4 linked regions of the Neodiprion lecontei genome follow. The protein of the gene in region 4 purifies or fractionates together with the protein of the main gene of each other region. This does not show direct contact. Links are inferred from orthologs where the notes say so. Each region holds a gene or a part of one and is shown on either strand. Other genes may lie near its edges. The genes, in order: transcription initiation protein SPT3 homolog, transformation/transcription domain-associated protein, SAGA-associated factor 29 and transcriptional adapter 2B.

Region 1 (4,673 bases), on a different chromosome or scaffold from region 4:
ACGAAAGTTTTCCATTAAGTATTTATAATTTTTTTATAGGCAAAACGTTGTTAAAATCAGGCTGCTTTCCGACTTCTAATTTTGACAATATGCCATTTTATCATTTTTTATTTTTTTTTCTTCATTTTAGTTCCTGCGATAGATATACTCATAATAATTAAGGGTCATTTTTAATTTTTTTTATTTCAGATAAGTGAAGCACCAAATCCATTAACAGCAGCAAGGTCAACTTTTTTCGAAGGGACGACTTCAGCACCATTTTTATATAATAATAAAAAAAAAAAAAAAATTGGTTGTCTGTAAAGTCGGTTTACGGACGATAGTTTGACGTGATAACGTCATAAAGAAACATTGATGAAAAATACGATTCAAATTGCTAGCTATGACGTCACGCGAGGCCTCGCTAGCTCAGCGACAAGTCCAAAAGTTATGATGACGCCATCTAGTATCACTGAATTTTTGCAACGTAAAATATCAGTAAATAGAGCTTAACCAACAACGGAGCTGCAATTAACCTATTTGAGCTGCTGTTTTGTTGTGGGTGAAATAAATTCCAGTGGTATCTAAGTGCCGTGAATCGTTAAACAAGCGAAATGCTATCGCAGGCGTTTCAGCCGTAGCCATGTTGACGTTGAGAGTGTGTGAATACGTGTATCAGCTGACGACGGAATATTTTATAATAATTTTGTTCGTTACTTTCGATTTAACTGTAATCTTCCACTGCTATTTCACCCACAACAATTTTGAATAAGGAATCATATCGTCACAAAACATTTGAAAAGTATGCTCTCGTCTTTGAGAATTCACGTTGCGAAATCCACTCGTCCGCGTGCACATGTGGTAGTGTCAGAAAAATAAAAGACATCACGATGGTTCACTCATATCATCATTACAACCTTTATTAAATGCCATACTAATATATAAATAATCCGATAACATACATATAACTTTTATAAATCTTTTTGCTGCACTATCAGATAAATAAGTTGGATTTTTAAATTTTCAATTTTCAAATAGTCCATCAATAAAATCTTTGGGCTTTTGCCCTCCAAACAATTAATTTATATTACCAGCCGTAGTAGCGTAGCGTGTAACGTCAAAGACTACGGAACGGGAGGATCTGAGTTCAAATCCCCAGCCTCTTTCACGGTAGCTCGCCAAAATTGTAAGACGGGCCACGTCATTCAGGCGCCGAATTGGCGGGTTGAAGTTTGAACTCGGTCCGGCAGCCACACGGACCAAAGGTTTTCTGCAGTTTTCTTTGTGTCCCTTGCGCTAATGCGGATGTTTCAATTGAACATCACAAGCAGACGGCTGCAGCCGCATAATGGTGGCCATGGCACCGTTATTTTAACCAAATTTTAAAATAAATGTCATTTAAGGACTTGTCATTAATACGTTCCGTATGGATTTTTTAGGATCTTATTTAGTTTGTTACAGAAATGTCACAAGGGGTTACAAGGGGTTAAGGATTTTTTTAAAGGATAAAATTAAATATGCAAAATAAAATATTTTATACCATTCTGTTTAGAGAGATGGCAAAAAGATATGGATCATCGACATAGCATCCGCGAACTAGTGATTGAGGACAAGAGTAAATGAAACGAAATGATGTTGACATGGAGAGTGATAATGATTAACGATAAGCGAGGTTTTCATCGATCTTGATGCGGCGATACAGACAGTATCGCAAGAGAACGTTGCGCAGACTGACGGTTTACAGAGCGAGAGAATACATAGATTACACACATACATGATATTGAGACAGTAGACAATACATGAGATACAGCTGCTGTTTTGAGTCGCGAGACTGGCAAGCGGCGAGATTTGACGCAGAGACGGCAATTAGTAAACATTGCACGCGAGTGCGCGTCCATGCGTGAGGACGATTTTGAGTGTCGCGAGACACACATTTGACTAATTCGATACTTTGCCGAAACAACGACAATACCTTTAAACAGTCCCCACTCAAGGTTGAGCTGCACGGTTGCCCACTAGAGCAGGAAATATCAGAAATGAATTTAGCAAAAAGCGAAGGGTACAGCATAGCAAGTCTTGCAATTATGATGATAGATAGCATTATGTGCGGCTACTGGACACAGAATATGTAATGACTGCATGTAATGAGAACTGCCTGACACTAGGCGCCGTTATTATTTTAGATTTCGCTGTACTCCAGTAACATTTAGATTCTAGGGTTACTACCCTAGAACAGACTTGGAACAAGAGTGGTTGGAACACCTGCCGATGTGATGTCTGCTACTAGCAATTTGTGTTTGTAAAGAAACAACAAAACGTAAACAAACATTAAAATTACTTTAAAAATGACAAGTGTACCTGACGTTAAAAATGAACCAATCAACTACACAGCGGGTGAGTGAAATATATAAATTTATTATATACGTATACATAAATATAAAGAAGGTAGAATTCTGTTGGTTATGTTTGTGACATAAGAATATGAAATCCATACCGCAGGCTCGTTCATTATCTATTATCCAATTTTCTCCACATTGCTGATGCTTATTTTCTGGTTAGAAATCCGTCAAATGATGCATGGATTTGGCGACAGTTCAGCCCCGCTGTTAGAGTCAGCAAAAATAATCGAGGATGTCGTACTGCACCAAATGCGAGCAATTGTTTACAGGGCGTGCGAAGTTGCTGATAGGCGAGGGAATAGAATAATAACACCTGAAGATTTTATTTTTCTCATGCGCAAAGATAAGGTCAAGGTTCAACGGCTGTTGAAGTACCTAGGCAAGTGGTATTTTTCTTACATTGATGTCTTATTAATTTTGGTACGTTGTGAATCTATCTCTGTAAACTAAATACATCCCTTCAATTTGATCTGTTTTCTTTTTGTTTCAGAAGTAAAAGAGCTGCGAGCAATAATGCACAAGACGGTTCAACCAGAGAGTATGGGGAATTTTTTCGAGGCTGACGGTGGCGAAGTTTTGACAAAGCGAAAACGTCCTTATCATGATTTCATTCAATTGATCGACAATACAGGGGAATTACTCGAAAATAGAAGCACTTTTGATATCGTTAAACAGAACAGACTGATCAGGGCAGAGATGGTCACTAGAAAAATGGATGAAATTCAATATGTGGAATACTCAAAGGCACGGCACGCTTCCTTCACAAATAACAAACAGCGACACAAATTCAGCGACTGGGTATGCCCGGATGGTAAAGTGAATTCAACCATATTATGTGTATAGATCAGGTTGGTTTTTTTAAGTTTCTTTTTCTTATGTACCCTTTGAAAAGTTAGTTTTTCGCCTCAAACGAAGTCTCGTAAAACTGGAACTCTATAGCAAAATTCTAAAACGTTACTCATCCGGTTTGAATTTTTCAAACACTCGAACTAAACTTTTAGAATTTTGCTACCGAGCTTCGGTTTCACGAGGCTTAATTTGAGGCTCAAAACTAACTTTTCGAAGTTTATGTAAGAAGAAAAAAAAAAAACCATTCTAGTATATACTTATATTTTTTTTCTGTTCAGTATCTAATCATAAATCGAATCTTCAACGCTTACAGATGATGTGAAAATATCAAAACAAGGCTACCAAATTTTGAGCTATCTCGCTTACGAAACTGTCGCGCAAATTATAGACTTGGCGCTTGTGGTCCGACAAGATCAGAGTAAGATTCATGGAGACGCTATTGAAAGGCTGAAACTAAACCACTGTAATCCCTATACCTACAAGCCTTATCAGCATAATATGGTAAACGAGATTATGGATTTCTTCTCCTTTACCTGAGTCACAAATAATTGGCCGCGTTCCATTATATAATCTCTTTGATTACAGGGAGTCGTAATAAAGCCAATCAGTCCGTCGGAAATAAATGAGGCATTGAGGAGGTATTGGTCACCACAGCTGGATATTACAGGGCCATTTTACAGATCATCTCTGCGTCCGCTGCACCCAAAATTACTTGCTTGTTGAGACATAGGCTGCGGAGGTACGAGCTTGTATTAAAATAATTGCAGGGTTGATGTTGATAATAGCTTCAGTTTATTTATTGTTATCGAGCCACGGCCGTTTTATATTTCAATATATGACTGCGATTTTGTTCTATATTACTCATTAAACTCAATAATCATGATATCAAGTGTATATTTCTAAAATTACAGAGCATCGTACGTACTACATTATAATTTGAGGAAAAACGCTAGATTTGGAATAAAAATACAAAGAAAAGTAATGACTACTTTTGGAAGTTTCTTGTTACGTATTTTACAAAATTCACGATTTACATGCTTACAATATTCTTTTTCTTTTTATTTTTCAGTCGTGTAATAAAATTTATCTACAATTATGCAAAGATCATTATCAGCATCACAGTATATGTCATGATTTACAATATAGGTATATTCAACGTGTATTTGTGTATCCTCCTCCTTTGATTATTGACCACAAATCTATTATATTAGAACTATACAATTTTGTCAATTATGTTTGGACGAATTATCATTATTATTAAACATATCGATAACATTTTAAAACATTCAACCGCTTACAAACTGCCCTAATTTTATAAATTACGGCTTGTCGAGGTTTTTAAAGTATTTCTTTTAAATTGTTTCAATACTGTTTCAGTAACAATTTATTATTGCCTAAGAAATAACACCTGAGAACTATTTTCTCTTTAAAAAACTTGTCTACTTG
Region 2 (4,953 bases), about 10 Mb from region 4:
CCATTTCGCTAGGATAATTCAACTCGAACCATTGACAATTGGTAATTGGAACAGCGTTATAACATCGAGTATAGACAGAAGCGTGAAGGTTTGGAATATCAACAATATATTCGAACAGGTTCACGTTATCGACAGACACGAGCTACAGATAGACTCGATCAGGTGACAATAATCTTCAACATCCCTCTGACCCTAAATATTCACTTAAACCTATGTAACATCATTTTAATACACCAACAGCCTTGCGGAGCACTGCAACTTGGCTGCTACAGTCACCAGAGGCTGCGTTGGGATTTGGAATCTCCAATCAGGACGTCTGATTTCCAAATTGGCTGACAGCCCACTGGGAGCGATAGTGACTCATGCCTGCATCACACACAATGGAAAGTGGGTAGACTATATATACCACTGTCAAAGATGTGATAATACCTTGGAAAAATTTTCAGGTATATCATCTCCACCGAGTCTGGAAACGTTTTGATATGGAACAGAATAACAGAACAAGTCTTATTTAAGGAAGAGCAGCCAGGCGTACGCCAGCTTACGCTGATTCCTGAGACCAGCAAATTCCTGGCTGTATCAAGACCGAGCAATCCTCCGGGCGTTGAAAGCGTTAGAACAACGGCTACTCTTGTCGTCAGAAATATTCCAGGTAATCGAAAACAGCGTGTAACCTATGTGAACCTAGCACCCGACTTGAAAAAACCTAACTATTTTTTGTTGATTCTTGTAGGTTTTTGTAGGTAGTTGTTTGTAGTAACAATGATTTCGGTTGTAGTAGCGCAAAAAAAAAAAAATATAAGGGGTTGAAAAAATGTCAGCACCCCATTTTGAAAAAAATCGAATTTATCGATAGTTTTCCGTACAGAATCGTTTGTAGTTGATTGTAGTGAAGATATTTTCGTTTGTAGTAAAAAGGAAAGAAAAATAGTTTGTTTTTTTTTAGCTAGAATTTCTGTGGCCCTGCTGTCAACTAATGTTTCGGAATCTTTTGTATTTGTTTGTAGTACAATTTTTTTCGTTTAAAATTCCTCAAAAAAAATGGTACTACAAACAACTACAAACGATATTGAAGCGAGTAGGACGTTTGTAGTAAATTCCCAAGGAACTACGAACGAAAAAATCGGTACTACAAACGACTACAAACGATTCTGAAGCGAGTAGGATGTTTGTAGTAAATTTCCAAGGAACTACAAACGAAAAAATCAGTACTACAAACAACTACAAACGTTTCCGAAGCGAGTAGGACGTTTGTAGTAAATTTTGGAGGAATTTTAAACGAAAAAAATTGTACTACAAACAACTGCAAAAGATTCCGAAACATTAGTTGACAGCAGGGCCACAGAAATTCTAGCTATAAATAAAAAAAAAAAAAAAAAAATGTATTTTTCTTTCCTTTTTACTACAAAGTAAAATATCTTCACTACAATCAACTACAAACGATTCTGTACGGAAAACTACCGACAAATTCGATTTTTTTCAAAATGGGGTGCAGACATTTTTTCAACCCCTTATATTTTTTTTTGGCGCTACTACAAACGAAATCATTCTTACTACAAACAACTACCTACAAAAACCTACAAGAATCAACAAAAAAATAGTTAGGTTTTTTCAAGTCGGGTGCTAGGTTCACAAAGATCAGCGTGTAAAGTCTACTACATCCAGTGTATAAGGAACCAAATTGAAACTAATTTTAACTCTACTCAATAGATGGAAGAACAATGTTCTCGTTGGAATATCCAGTGAAAAGTCAAACAGGAGTACCGTTCAGACAAGCTGTTCTGACCTCGGATGGTGCGAACCTAGTCGTACCGGCAGCTGACAAAGGTAACCGAGACTGTGTGATTGTTTACAACGCAAAAACAGGGGTCCTGGTCAATAGAATACCGGTTAAAATACCGGGACTCAAAGACATAACAAGCATAGTACCAATGCCACACCGTGCGCATTGGGTTGGTATAATCGGCTCGGATAAAGGAAGCATCATGGACATAAACAAGAAGAAAATCATCAGATCGGTGCCCAAGTGGAGCGGGAATATCAGCAAGGATGGCAAACACACTTTATATGCTCCCAGCAGGTAAAAAATTTGTAGTTCAATTACCAATTCCTTATCTCGTGGCAGTTTATGTAATTTTTATTTTAAACAGGGGTGGTCTCGATCTCATCGAACTGAAGAAAGGAACTACCGTCAAGACCTACATACCAAAAGTTGCTGAGGGTGTTTTCACCGTCATTTCAATGTTCAACAGAACGGATGACTACGTACTCTACTATCACAGTGGTCGCAAAACAATTAGAGTATTCAGGTAAAGAAACCATTCAAAAGTAATAGTTCTGACAAATACATAACAAGATGATTTACTTCAACAATAAATAATGCTTTAATTCCATTTTTATTCCCACAGATCTTCAGACTGCGAGATGATAGCCAACTACAGAGTCCAAGCAGAATTGAGCGCAATCGACAGCACGTACGATGGAAAAAGCATAGTACTGGGGACCGTTGATGGATGTGTATCGGTGCTGGCAATCGCAGACCCGCAGAAACCAGAAATGAAGGATTACTTGTTGAACTTACCGTCGCGAGACGAGCAGGTGAAACGAGATGATAAAGAAAAGCGCATGTTTATTAGAGGTTATGAACGCGACGGAGAAAAAAATTGCGAGATGAAGTTAGAATATACAAAAAGGTGTTATAATATTCGTCGCGAGATCGGAGATTGAGCAGGGGTGAAAATTCGGATTGAATCGTGGGTGAAATGAAGCGACATAACATAGTTACTAACCTTCTTCGGTATGATGACGCACGGCAGACCCTAACCTCGATCTCGGTAACTCCTTTCACATAGTTGAAAGTCTCTCGTACTTCCGAAACATTTCGTTCACACCTTCACAAGCGAATTCACATCGCACAACACAATTGTCTACTTTTCCGCACTATGTTTGTTTGTTTATTGAACATAAAAACGCAAATATACCGTACAGGCTCCGAACGCCGCGAAATTGTGCGACATAACTTGCACTCGCATCTTCCATCTGCTTCGTTCGCCTCCCGGCCATAGACTTATAACGATAGACTGAGCGTTCCTATAAGAGGCACTGACAATTACATATAAAGGACAGAGATATACCGGGAGTACTGCTCTCGCTTTTCAATCGGCGTCGTGGTGGAAGACAACGGAGCAGTGGAAGTGGAACAGCTATAGATATAGGGGTATAATTTCGCCTCATTCTCCTCTACCGCCTTCAAGCGGCTCATAAGCGCGCTAAGTCTATCTTTATAAGTCTATGCTCCCGGCCCAGTGTTGGCAACCCTCTGGTGGCGACAAGTCGTACTCGATGTGAAAATGAATCGTACTTTGAAATTTCAGGACCGTACAAAGATTTCGCGGAGTACATTTTTGTTCTTTATATTTTATGGTCGTACAATTGCCACAATGTTGCTTCTTTTCTCAAGGACCAGATAAGTTTCAACCACATTATTGTTAGTTTTACGTTCAAAAATATTTCACACTAACGCTAAAGGTTGTGAATTTTTCAATTACACGAAGCAGTTGCTGGAGTCTTGGAGAATAATTGAACTAATATAACCAGGAATGTGAATTACTGAGACCGTTTATACTTCTGTACTTGATTCTTTTACAATATCAGAGGCTAGCCAAAAAATGACCTAAATTCCTAAAATTTTTCCATGACTGTACATTTAGCGTGTCCGTATAGGAGGCGAAATTACCGTACAAATACGGTCCTGACCGTACGGTCGGTAACTTCGTTCCGCCAAAGAGTATAATATGCGTATATATATATATATATATATATACATATACATATATCTCATTTCGAGTTGCGCGTCTTCAAAACCGCGAAACGAAATTAAATTCAAATCATGTGTACAGCCAACCTGTATATTATTAATTATGTAATTTTTACTTTCAGTGGAAAAAGAAGATGGAGAAGCAGCGAGCAGCGACAAAATTCAAGGCGGCGGCTAGAATAGCGAGGGTAACGCACGATCTAGTGCACGTTGTGAGGAAGAACAATGCATTTGTCGAGGAAAACGATGCAACTGATGAAGAGGCGGATCAGTAGGCTGCCTTACAATTATATGATTCGTACTCGTTCCATCTAGTTATCGGCAATGAGAATACCTGGCTTGTAGCAAAACTTATATTGGCGTGTTATGCCTGGTGCATAATTTTCAAGCTAAGAGTTGAGCATAGATAATATACATATTATTGGCAAACTGATAAATTATTATAATCGTTGATATATTGAGATGAATTTATAGACATTCATAAATTATATACAATATGCTAAGGGAAAGAAACGAAAATGCAATTGTAATTTTAAGACATGAAATACGGAATTTATAGTAATATTTATTTCTGTCTTTTAGCGAATATCGAATTTGTATAATTATTTGTTTATTTTTTCATTTATTTATTCTAATTCTCTCTTTCACTTTCTCTCACTTTTTCACGCTTCCTTCAAACTTCAATATTTCAAATGTTTACACTTCGTAAATATTTTGCCATTCGCCTTGGTACATGTAATAACCTTGCATTTTAATAAGGATGACAAAGACGGCGACAACGGCTGATGACAATGTCGCAGGATATAACTCGGTGTAGCTGCGTAATTGAATCGATGATGTGGGTTCAGATCAATGCATTTGAAGAAACAAAATGTAGCGGAAAAAAAATATTCACAACAAAACAACCGTTCTGCAATACAAAGATACTATTTATAATTAATTTAAATTTTACGTGACAACACACTATATGCTCTCTTTCTCTTTAATAATGTTTTACAAATAAATATATATGTATATCTATATATATATTATCCAACAAAAAAAAATAACAAAAACTTCAGTTCCAGATTTTCTTATATGTATATTTGCATTAAGATTTCAGGAGAGACTCTTGATCGATCGCATTTTACTTCCAC
Region 3 (5,019 bases), on a different chromosome or scaffold from region 4:
AGCTCCAATTGAACGACGTTATTGTTATGTATTTCTATGTATACAATGCCAACCACTCATTAATTGCAATTTGTTGATCCTGGTTGTTCGGTTTTTTTACCGATTCAAAATGTTATCTGAAGCATGTATTTTGGGTTGATAGCACAAAATATGACGTTTTCAATAATCAAACTTGTAAACTTGAATATTAGTTCGGAATGTCAAAAGTCATCAGGTCACGGACCTGGAGAGCCAGAACTACGGCATTCTAGTCCTGGAAGTCGAGTTTCAACACGTGGCGGACCTGGAGCGCAGAAACTACGGAGCGCTGATCTCGGAAGTTGAATTTCACTAGGTAGTGGGCCTGAAGCGCAGGAACTACGGAGTGCTGATCTCGGAAGTTGAATTTCACTAGGTAGCGGACCTGGAGCGCAGAAACTACGGAGCGCTGGTCCCGGAAGTCGAGTTTCAACACGTAGCGGACCTGGAGCCCAGAAACTACGCAGCACTTGACCTGGAAGTCGAGTTTCACCAGGTAGCGGGCCTGGAGCGCAGAAACTACGGAGCGCTGATCTCGGAAGTTGAATTTCACTAGGTAGTGGGCCTGAAGCGCAGGAACTACGGAGTGCTGATCTCGGAAGTTGAATTTCACTAGGTAGCGGACCTGGAGCGCAGAAACTACGGAGCGCTGGTCCCGGAAGTCGAGTTTCAACACGTAGCGGACCTGGAGCCCAGAAACTACGCAGCACTTGACCTGGAAGTCGAGTTTCACCAGGTAGCGGACCCGGAGTGCAGGAACCACGGAAGTAGAGTACCCGGTACTCGAAATTTGCGGAGCGCGACTCTCATGCGTCCGCTCTACTGCGCGGTTATTTCCAGACTGAGGAATTCGGCCAGCTGATTTTCGGCTATATAGATCGATGACGTCGAGAGAAAAAAAATTTTGAGTGACGTCACTTTCTGAACATCCGAAGATCCGAACATCCAAACTTTGGTTTTAAACTTTAATACTATGTATGATGTATGATGTATGATGATATGATGTATGATGTATAATGATTTTAGTTTTCACATGTCAGAAAGAAATACGCACTTTATCTTTCCTGCCGATTCAAGACTCAAGCGGCTGAGCCCTTCGATGGTCTGCCGTTGACTAAATATATATTTTCCAGTTAACGTCAGCTAATAATGCTGCCGTTCTGAGACAGTTGGATGATAAAAATTTTTACTGAAAACTAGTTACAAAAATTTACCCAGAGGTATCCGTCTTTATTTTCTTCAGTTAATGGTTCCAAGAAGAACTGAATTAAAATCTAATCACATTACCGCTCGGTGAAGAGGATTAGTTGCTAAATTCTCGTTTCCATACCTATGAGGCCATAAGAATTCTTATAATAAACTGCACTAAATTGTCGTCATTCGAATAAACTGCATAAAATAAACGTAAAACTCGTCCGCGAAGATCATTTTCAATTTTGAATTTACCTCCAAACTGCTTTCTGTATGACCGGCTGACAATTAGGTAGTCGTGATGATAAATTTTGTTCGGTAATTTTAACATACGCCTCAGCCGGCAATGCTGCTTTCATCATTCAGTTTGGTTTTCATTTACCAATCGTCTCACAATTCATAATATTCACGCGCCACAACAGCGCTGAGTTAAAGTTGTGAATATCTCTTCATGGATATATAATTATTAGTGTACTGGAATTATAGCATAATTTTCAAGTTATGACTCAGTCGGAGAGAAATAATATTTTCATAAAGATCTGCGCCAAGTAACTTCAGCTCATGTACGTGTGTTTATAGTATAGAAGATATGCTATTCCTAATCTATGCAATTATTCATTTACGTCGATCATGATTCAGGCGAAGCAGTCACTGATTGCTCCAAACAAACTGACACATAGCTACATGTGACGTGATAAAAATCACTTCCAGTTGCTCTTAATGCTAAGGTTGACTTTAACTATTCTAACCTCTAAATATAGTTTGTCATATTTATGTAAACAAAACAAAGAGTACATAGCGACTTCACAGCATTGAATAGCTTTTGGTTCAAGCAAGAAGAAAAACTCCACCAGACCTACCGTTTCATACAGAATCCTTGTTTTTTCAGTTTCAAAGTGTTTTGTTTTCACTTTCTTAAACCATCTACATCTAGGTTATCTATCTAGGTTATTTTAAAATCAAAAGGTAATTTAACACTGAACTTCTCAAATACCATTTCAGGAGCTCTCCTTCGAAGATGCCGTTCACAGCTGATGCAGCGGCACATCAAATACAGGTACCAGCAGCATATTCAAAAATCAAACTCATCATCAAAATAATTTCAAATCAGTTTTGTCAAATGTTTCATATCATATGAATAACAATGGATGTTGCAGGAACGGCTCAAGAACATATACAATTTAATATTTGAGATAGAAGAAGAACGCAATCGATCTGAACATAATTTAAATAATATCACCAAGGCTCATGACAAAATAACACCAGATGATAAAGTCTCTCCTTACTATCAACAGAAATTAAAAAGTTTATATAGCGCTGCTGTCTCTGATGCTCAACAAGAAGAGGAGCTGATACGAAAAGCGCTGGCAAAAATTAACGAAATTAGGGCAATTCGAAATGAGCGTAGAATTCAAGTATGTCAATGTGAAAGGAACGGATTATTAAATTCAGAAAACCAGGGATTGTCCAAAAATCCAAGGGGAAATATAAAATTCAGATAGAATATTGCCATAATCATAGATAAAGTCCTTCCAATTATGTGTAACAATTTTGCATTCTTTTGAACAACTGAGGCACCAAATTATTCAGATTCTAATTCACCATAATGTCATTGCAGACAAAAATATACTCTCTAGATACTTTGTACATACCTATGTGAAACACTTGGAAAACAGCTGCTTGCTAGCGATATATTATTCATGCAGTTTACCAATTTTTCAATTGCTGGAAAAGTATGACTAAAACCTTTGTTCTTATACAGGCGCGTAACGCAGGAAACAAGGAAACGATACGACGAGGTGCATTGATGAAAATGTTGTTGAGCTCTGCACAAACTCTACCACTATATGTGGGTAAGTCACCTGGAGCAAAACCACCGCCACTATGTGGCGCAATTCCAGCTGAAGTTACGTACATAGCAAAGGTACGAAGGTAATAGTTTGTAAAATATTTCAATTTACGCCATATGAGATATTGATGATATTTTTGAGATGGGAGATATGGTTGCCGCGCTGGTAAAAGGATCCGAAGAGGAGGAGAATTGGATTCTTGCTGAAGTCGTTCAATTTAATCCAACGACGAGTAAATATGAAGTTGATGACATAGATGAGGAACAAAAAGATAGGCATGTTCTTTCAAAGCGTCGTGTTGTCCCTTTGCCTCTGATGCGAGCAAACCCGGAGACCGACGCCCATGCATTATTTCCCAAAGGATCTATAGGTATGATTATATGCTTGTGGTATAACTCACTACGGTTATAACAGTTGTATTCCCAGCTCTATAATGCAGTATCATTTTGCTTTTAAAGTTATGGCGCTCTATCCCCAAACGACATGCTTCTACAAGGCTGTTGTTAATCAGCTACCGACTACCGCAACTGAAGAGTACGAAGTACTATTCGAAGATGCAACATATGCGGACGGATACTCCCCACCTTTAAATGTTGCGCAACGTTACGTGATATCCATAAAGGAGAGTAAGAAAAATAAAAGTCAGTCTTGAAGAGAAGCAGAGTTATTATTTATAATCCGTAACGAATCGTAATGACACCGGAAATTTCTAAGCAATAATGCAGATATACGTCTAATTGAGATGCTGTACAATTCAAATCATGCAATCATCTCACTGCCATCAAATTTTTTTTTCGTTACAAGAAGAAATTACGTAGCTAAATGAACAAAAATTGATGCTTTAGTTATTAGATATTTGTAATATCATCAAACTGTATATAATCAATAAACAGGAGAAATTTTATGTGCCAGGATGTATATGCATTTTATACAGATTGCGCACATATACATTCTTTGCTTTTCATTCCAAAATACTATCAAAGTTATTATTTCAGTTACTCAAAATTACGCATAAGGATTCTTTATTTGTCCATTCAATCATTTTACATTTATTTTTTAACATATTTTTTCCTCTTATCTATTTTCTTTTCTTATTTTTCTTTCCTAGTGAGAAATAAAAATTGTTCATGAATACGTGTTATGTCGCTGAATCGAAGGTGATGCTGCACCGCACCTGCAAAATACTTAGCGACATGGGAGTAATGTGGGTTTAATTAGACTTTCGGTCTCTAATACGAACACCAGAACTTTTTAGTGCTCAAAACGCACTTGGAAGTACATTATGTATAAATATCGGTAATAGCGATCAATCCTCATCTTACAAAGTAGTATTCAACGCTTTTTTTTAAACTTTAAATCAAATTAAAAATCTATCCTTAAAACGTTCCTACTTAATCAAAGTTGCAATGACATGAAACTGTGTTGCTTTTGAAAAACTATATGTTCAACTAAAAAGAACTTTAAAGCAACTTCTTTCGCCAAATGCATACAAAACTGGTCAATGAACTGATTAACTCGTTATTAGTTATAAACTATGAGATATAATTCTATTCATTCAGATTGTAGTTCAATGAATTTGTTTTTCATTTTTATTTTATCTGCTTGTTTCATTTAGGCTTCAGTGCGTGAATTACCATATGGATATCTTGTTTTTTTTTTTTTTTTTTTTTTTTTCAAAAAAACTTATGATTCCCAGCACACTCTCATTTTTAGGTATAATATATGAAAAAGGTGTCACCGACGTGGGCGTTCACTGTATACATAAAACAATACCTGAATAATTATGTGCCTGACAATTATTTAATATTTGGAATTATGATGAAGTTAATGACAGATATTTTATTTCATGAGTGACATGAGTTCGTATTTTATATTTTTACAAATCGCTGTAAGACAAATGATCTGGACCAATAGATAGTACTTGTACGTTAAACTGTTTCAGAAAAAATGAAAGAAAAAA
Region 4 (4,586 bases):
CCAATGTCTAGGTAAAGGTGTAAGCACCTTCTGTCAATCTGGTTTGATTCTGTATCTTTGAAGAGGAAAATAAATAGCGACAGAAGTATTTACTCTGTTCGACTTTCAAGGATCGGCCAGTGACTGAGAAATGATGTGACTAATGTTATTCAATGATAAACTTCCACACACTGAGTTTAGTATACAGTTACAAACATGTAATATTACAAGTTCTACAATTTTTACAATACCGAAAAGAGAGTAACAAGAAATAAAAATCCAAACGAGAACTTACAGATTTCTTTTCAGTCCAATGATCCGTCGTTTCTGTTTGACCTTGAGTCTGTGCCATGACTTGTTCGAAATGGGCACATTCTTCATGCCTGGTGATACCGTTCTCTCTGTAACGACTAAGCTCGGTTAGCCGTAGTCGGAGCTCTCGTTCCCTTTCCAAATTAGTCAAGAATTGTTCGTGCTCCTGCGCTGTGTAGAATTGGGCAAACGTTCGCATTCTATCCCGAAATTCTCTGTATGTCAAATAATGAGCAACAATGGAAATGAAAGACAAGCATAAATTCAAGGACATTTAATTTAACAGCAAATATAACAATTACCTGAGTGATCATAAATTGTGGGTTAATTCGTTTGTTACCTGTCTTCTTTGCTCTGTTTTTTCTTGATCGCTCTATCTTTTCTTGTCGAAGCAAAGAACGAAGAGACAAGTTGATAATCTCTAACGACACGTTTTCTTCTTGCTCGTTCACGTAAGTTATTTGTGTACATGTCAACTTGGGCTAGCTTTAGCGCAATGTCAAGGTCATCGTCTTCGGCAGGAGTGAGAAACAACGAAGAAACCAAAGACTCTGCCTCGTGTTTATAATCCTGTAGAAAAGAAAGAAGTTATTCATGTAACGAAGCTGTTGAAGATGAACGAAATTTTTTTTCCATATGCTGAACATACGATATATGGAAGATTTGTAGCGCGTTGCTAGAAATTGAGATACTCGCTGTAAATAACACACCCTTTCAAAATCATCCCGCTGTGGCATATAGCCGAGCTGAGCTGCTTCTTCTGGGGTGATATCTAACGGTGGCAGTCGCGAGGTCAAGTCTGGCGATAGTGGCCCATAATCAGAGCTAGTTTGGTCCGTCAGGTTTGGTCTATAACTTTCAGTCGAAGGCCATGTCTGTTTACCGATATTTCCATCAAGATATCTGGCGATGTATTCCTCTTTAGCCTCTGCATAAAGAAAAAAAAAAACAATCGCATGAATAAGTAGTATGTTATGTAGCAATGATTTAAAAGTGTTTGCAGGATATTTTCACTCAGTTCAAAGTTCCGCAGCAATCGCTGAGCTGATATTAATTATCATATTTTAAACAGGGGGGGCTTGGTATACGTTGTAGGTAAAAGTAATGAATTTTGCAAGAAAAGAAACCTGAATCTAAGAAATAAATTCAGCTACAAAAATAACGCTCTTTTACCATCAGGTGTTCTTGTTTCAATATGTTTACTTATATCCTCCCAATTTCCAAAACCAAACTGTTCAATCGCATCGAGAAGTCTGAGTTGTTCTCTCGCTGTCCAACTTCCTCTCCCGCTAAATATGCTAATTGTACCAGAATCCTGAAAAATAAACAGAATTAAATATAACGAGACATTATTACAAAACACCATGATAAAATATGCATGTAAAAATTTGTTGAGCTCAAAGAAATGCTTACCATAAATTGATAAGAATGGTCATTTTTGTGCTGTCCTATTTCAGCACCAGCAGAAAAACACTGTAAATGAAATCACTTTCATTGTGTGACAGTGTGTATGCTGAATTTTAATTGAAGTAAAGCAAAATTTTTCATCTACAAGAAGATAACAACAAATCTGCAGGATAAGTTACCACGTAGACTGTATACAAAGATTTAGGAACAAATGAAAAAGGCAAAACTGTTGTGCACGTAAGTTCTGTACAACATAATTGCTTTGCAAAAGATAATCAGGCTGAAAAGATGCGGTGAGAATCACATATCCAGAGATTTAACGCATTGGCGAGCACAACATTACAGCAAGCATTTATGATTAAACTGAAAATAATTTTCATTCTAGATGAATATCGGATTACATATTAAGAAAAACCATAGTTCACCGATTTTTGTTTCTCAACAGTAACGATATTTCCGATTGAGTAAATTATCCTAGTAAAATGTGTTATTTTGCAAAGAGAATAAGGAAGTTGTCAAGGTAAGAAGATTTGCTATCCAAACTAAATATCTTGAGAAATCGTGGATCCGTAACGAAGCGTAAATTAATTACACACATGTAGCGGCGTTGCGAATTTCCCGCTCATCGCTTGTTGCGATGTCGCAAATACAACGGTGACGAGCGAAATTATCGAAGCGCGTCGTCTTTCAAGGCCTGAGTCAAGGGTGGGGAAAGAGGGAGAGAGAAATAAAAATATTTGCCGTTAGCAGGAGGCAAAATCTGGCGAAAAGTTTGAAGGGGAGGTGGGCAGTCGGTCGCGAGGTCACATGACTCGACTCCCGAGCATCAGGGCTGAGGGCCCCCCAATCCCCATTCGTTTCGCCCCTGGGCCACTTACGACTTACCTGTAAGCACAGATCAAAGTCGGCACATTCCACGCATTTAACACGCAACCCAGCGATGTCCTCCTGGCAATATGTGCAATTGTACTTAGCGTAGAGATCTGAGAACAATATTTAGTCATTAATACGAACCGAGCTCGACTCAGTTCGGTTGGAATCGATCGAAAATGCAATCCTTACAACGAAGGGACCTACGTACCCGCCATTATTGTTCTATGGCGTTTATTTCCAGAACGATCGCTAGTGACGTCACCACATCCTAAGGTCAACCGAAAATAACCATAAACTATTACAGCGAATCACGCTCATTTTTTAAAACAATATCAAATCGAGTACACGATGTATAGTTGAAAGACACTTCGCTCATCCGTATTTATTTTTCGAACAAAAACCACCCGAAATATACTACCTGATTGAAAAAAAATGTTTACGAGTGTAGCGTCGTTTCGGAAATGCGCATGCGCTACGCTAACGCCCCTCGTTGCATCGCTCAGGAACGTACTATGTATGTATGGTACAAAACGCCTAGCTGCCAGCAACAATTTATTCCACAATTGCCAACCTGACCAATCCTATATTCGCACGATTCAAACGTCCGTTTTCGCCCCGACGCTTCTCGGAAAATGTCATAATTATCACCCTACGAACACGCGAGAGAAAAGGTTCAACGTTTACTTCGATTAAGAGTGAGTATTCTTATTAGTTCCAAGTTTTCAAAAAAGTTTATACATTCGTACTAATCACGTTGCGTTGATTTCGCGACAAAAGAAATTTCGTACTTCAGTTGTTGCTCAAAAGCGCAGCGCGACATAAAACGTCCCTGTTTTTTTATTAACTATTTTCTAATTTAAAGTATAATCCAGTATAATATTCATCGAAATGTCAATAGTCACAAGTTGTACGAGTAAAACTTCCGAGATTTCGTTTTTGCGATTTGTTTCGCTTGTCAAAATCTACCCCAAGTCGTATCCGAGCACATCATTAGGACGCTTGGACTTGCTGCGAAAGTCCAGCTCCTGTTCGGGCCCACGAAGATTCGAAGATACCCCCAAGTTTAAAGCGTTTAAGGAAAAGCAGGCAAAAATGCAGGTTCGATGTTAGCCTCCTCTCATTAGTTACAATAATTTGACTGTTACCATCACTTTAACCATTTGATCTTGAATTGTTTTTGTAGCAGGATAAGACTTGTAACTTTTGGGAAAATTAAAAGCAATTCATTGGTTGTTAACTGCCTTTCTTAATATTTTCAGTGTGACGACGGATATCCGATACATTTGAAAGGTGGTGTTTTAGATAAAATATTGTACCATGTTACTGTAGGTGGTGTTATTATAGGCCTTGCTCAAGGCTTTTGGTTTATTTATTGTTGTGCAACGAAGAAAGCCGTGGATTGAATTTTGTTAATCGTCGTTTGCAATTTGAATTGTGTAAAAGCAGTTTATCACTAATATTTATTGATGTTATTAACATGTTAACAACAGTTTTTAAAAGAAATAGATACAGTTATCTTTGAGAATGAATACACGTTTAAAGTTAAATGTCTTTACTTTTTGTAACACAATGATACACAACATTTCATTTCTTATATACATTTTCCACGATATATACCGTATGTACGATTATTCAGCTTACTTACTAAAGAATTTAGGAGCTCATTTTTAAGGCACTTTGAAAGTATTTGAATAAAAGAACTTCGTTTGTTTCAACTTTTATAACATATTTGATAATTTGGTGTAAACGACGGTGAAAAATATTCTGAGAAAAAATGAAACTTACAGACCATTCAAAGTTTGCTGATTCCATTTTTGATTCGGAAAAGTAGCATCAGAGCTACTCAACTGGTATTCAGGTTGAAATATAAGCAATGGTTCAAATTGTAAACTTTGGTATCACAGAAACATATTTACATATTTTTCTTGGCGCATTGCAATTCACTGGAAACAGTCTGTATTCACTAGTTATATATTATCATGGTATCAAGTATTCAAAACTTTGTTTTCATTCTG

Evidence for each region.
Region 1: the proteins of transcriptional adapter 2B (region 4) and transcription initiation protein SPT3 homolog purify together in Drosophila melanogaster (affinity purification with mass spectrometry; 7 studies listed by BioGRID, with this or other methods). This does not show direct contact. The link is inferred for Neodiprion lecontei from reciprocal best matches to the Drosophila melanogaster genes Ada2b and Spt3.
Region 2: the proteins of transcriptional adapter 2B (region 4) and transformation/transcription domain-associated protein purify together in Drosophila melanogaster (affinity purification with western blotting; 4 studies listed by BioGRID, with this or other methods). This does not show direct contact. The link is inferred for Neodiprion lecontei from reciprocal best matches to the Drosophila melanogaster genes Ada2b and Nipped-A.
Region 3: the proteins of transcriptional adapter 2B (region 4) and SAGA-associated factor 29 purify together in Drosophila melanogaster (affinity purification with mass spectrometry; 4 studies listed by BioGRID, with this or other methods). This does not show direct contact. The link is inferred for Neodiprion lecontei from reciprocal best matches to the Drosophila melanogaster genes Ada2b and Sgf29.

The regions. Positions count from the first base shown.
Region 1 is NC_060262.1:4,441,994-4,446,666, reverse strand, and holds transcription initiation protein SPT3 homolog, read left to right. Parts: upstream 1-1,858; 5' UTR 1,859-2,324; coding exon 2,325-2,373; intron 2,374-2,538; coding exon 2,539-2,757; intron 2,758-2,868; coding exon 2,869-3,189; intron 3,190-3,540; coding exon 3,541-3,728; intron 3,729-3,812; coding exon 3,813-3,950; 3' UTR 3,951-3,966; exon of another isoform or gene 3,967-4,138; 3' UTR 4,139-4,168; downstream 4,169-4,673. UniProt on the Drosophila melanogaster protein: Component of the transcription regulatory complex SAGA, a multiprotein complex that activates transcription by remodeling chromatin and mediating histone acetylation and deubiquitination. The SAGA complex predominantly acetylates histone H3.
Region 2 is NC_060263.1:16,848,903-16,853,855, reverse strand, and holds the start of transformation/transcription domain-associated protein, read right to left. Parts: upstream 3,053-4,953; 5' UTR 2,790-3,052; intron 2,599-2,789; coding exon of another isoform or gene 2,409-2,598; intron 2,310-2,408; coding exon of another isoform or gene 2,151-2,309; intron 2,081-2,150; coding exon of another isoform or gene 1,711-2,080; intron 653-1,710; coding exon of another isoform or gene 447-652; intron 388-446; coding exon of another isoform or gene 241-387; intron 163-240; coding exon of another isoform or gene 1-162. Other genes in the region: NACHT and WD repeat domain-containing protein 2, read left to right, coding at 1-162, 241-387, 447-652, 1,711-2,080, 2,151-2,309, 2,409-2,598, 3,940-4,092. UniProt on the Drosophila melanogaster protein: Part of the Tip60 chromatin-remodeling complex which is involved in DNA repair. Upon induction of DNA double-strand breaks, this complex acetylates phosphorylated H2AV in nucleosomes and exchanges it with unmodified H2AV.
Region 3 is NC_060260.1:35,361,353-35,366,371, reverse strand, and holds SAGA-associated factor 29, read left to right. Parts: upstream 1-1,781; 5' UTR 1,782-1,929; coding exon 1,930-1,937; intron 1,938-2,211; coding exon 2,212-2,266; intron 2,267-2,366; coding exon 2,367-2,624; intron 2,625-2,971; coding exon 2,972-3,133; intron 3,134-3,200; coding exon 3,201-3,429; intron 3,430-3,517; coding exon 3,518-3,711; 3' UTR 3,712-4,480; downstream 4,481-5,019. Other genes in the region: skin secretory protein xP2-like, read right to left, coding at 224-800, 1,306-1,348, 1,465-1,568. UniProt on the Drosophila melanogaster protein: Component of both the SAGA and CHAT histone acetyltransferase complexes, which both predominantly acetylate histone H3.
Region 4 is NC_060263.1:6,647,339-6,651,924, forward strand, and holds the start of transcriptional adapter 2B, read right to left. Parts: upstream 3,039-4,586; 5' UTR 2,787-3,038; coding exon 2,780-2,786; intron 2,682-2,779; coding exon 2,584-2,681; intron 2,538-2,583; exon of another isoform or gene 2,325-2,537; coding exon of another isoform or gene 2,295-2,324; intron 1,765-2,294; coding exon 1,705-1,764; intron 1,607-1,704; coding exon 1,465-1,606; intron 1,220-1,464; coding exon 1,002-1,219; intron 862-1,001; coding exon 632-861; intron 507-631; coding exon 275-506; intron 1-274. Other genes in the region: uncharacterized protein LOC107223641, read right to left, coding at 4,557-4,586. UniProt on the Drosophila melanogaster protein: Component of several Gcn5-containing histone acetyltransferase complexes that regulate nucleosome organization; involved in acetylation of histone H3, particularly on Lys-10 (H3K9ac) and Lys-15 (H3K14ac).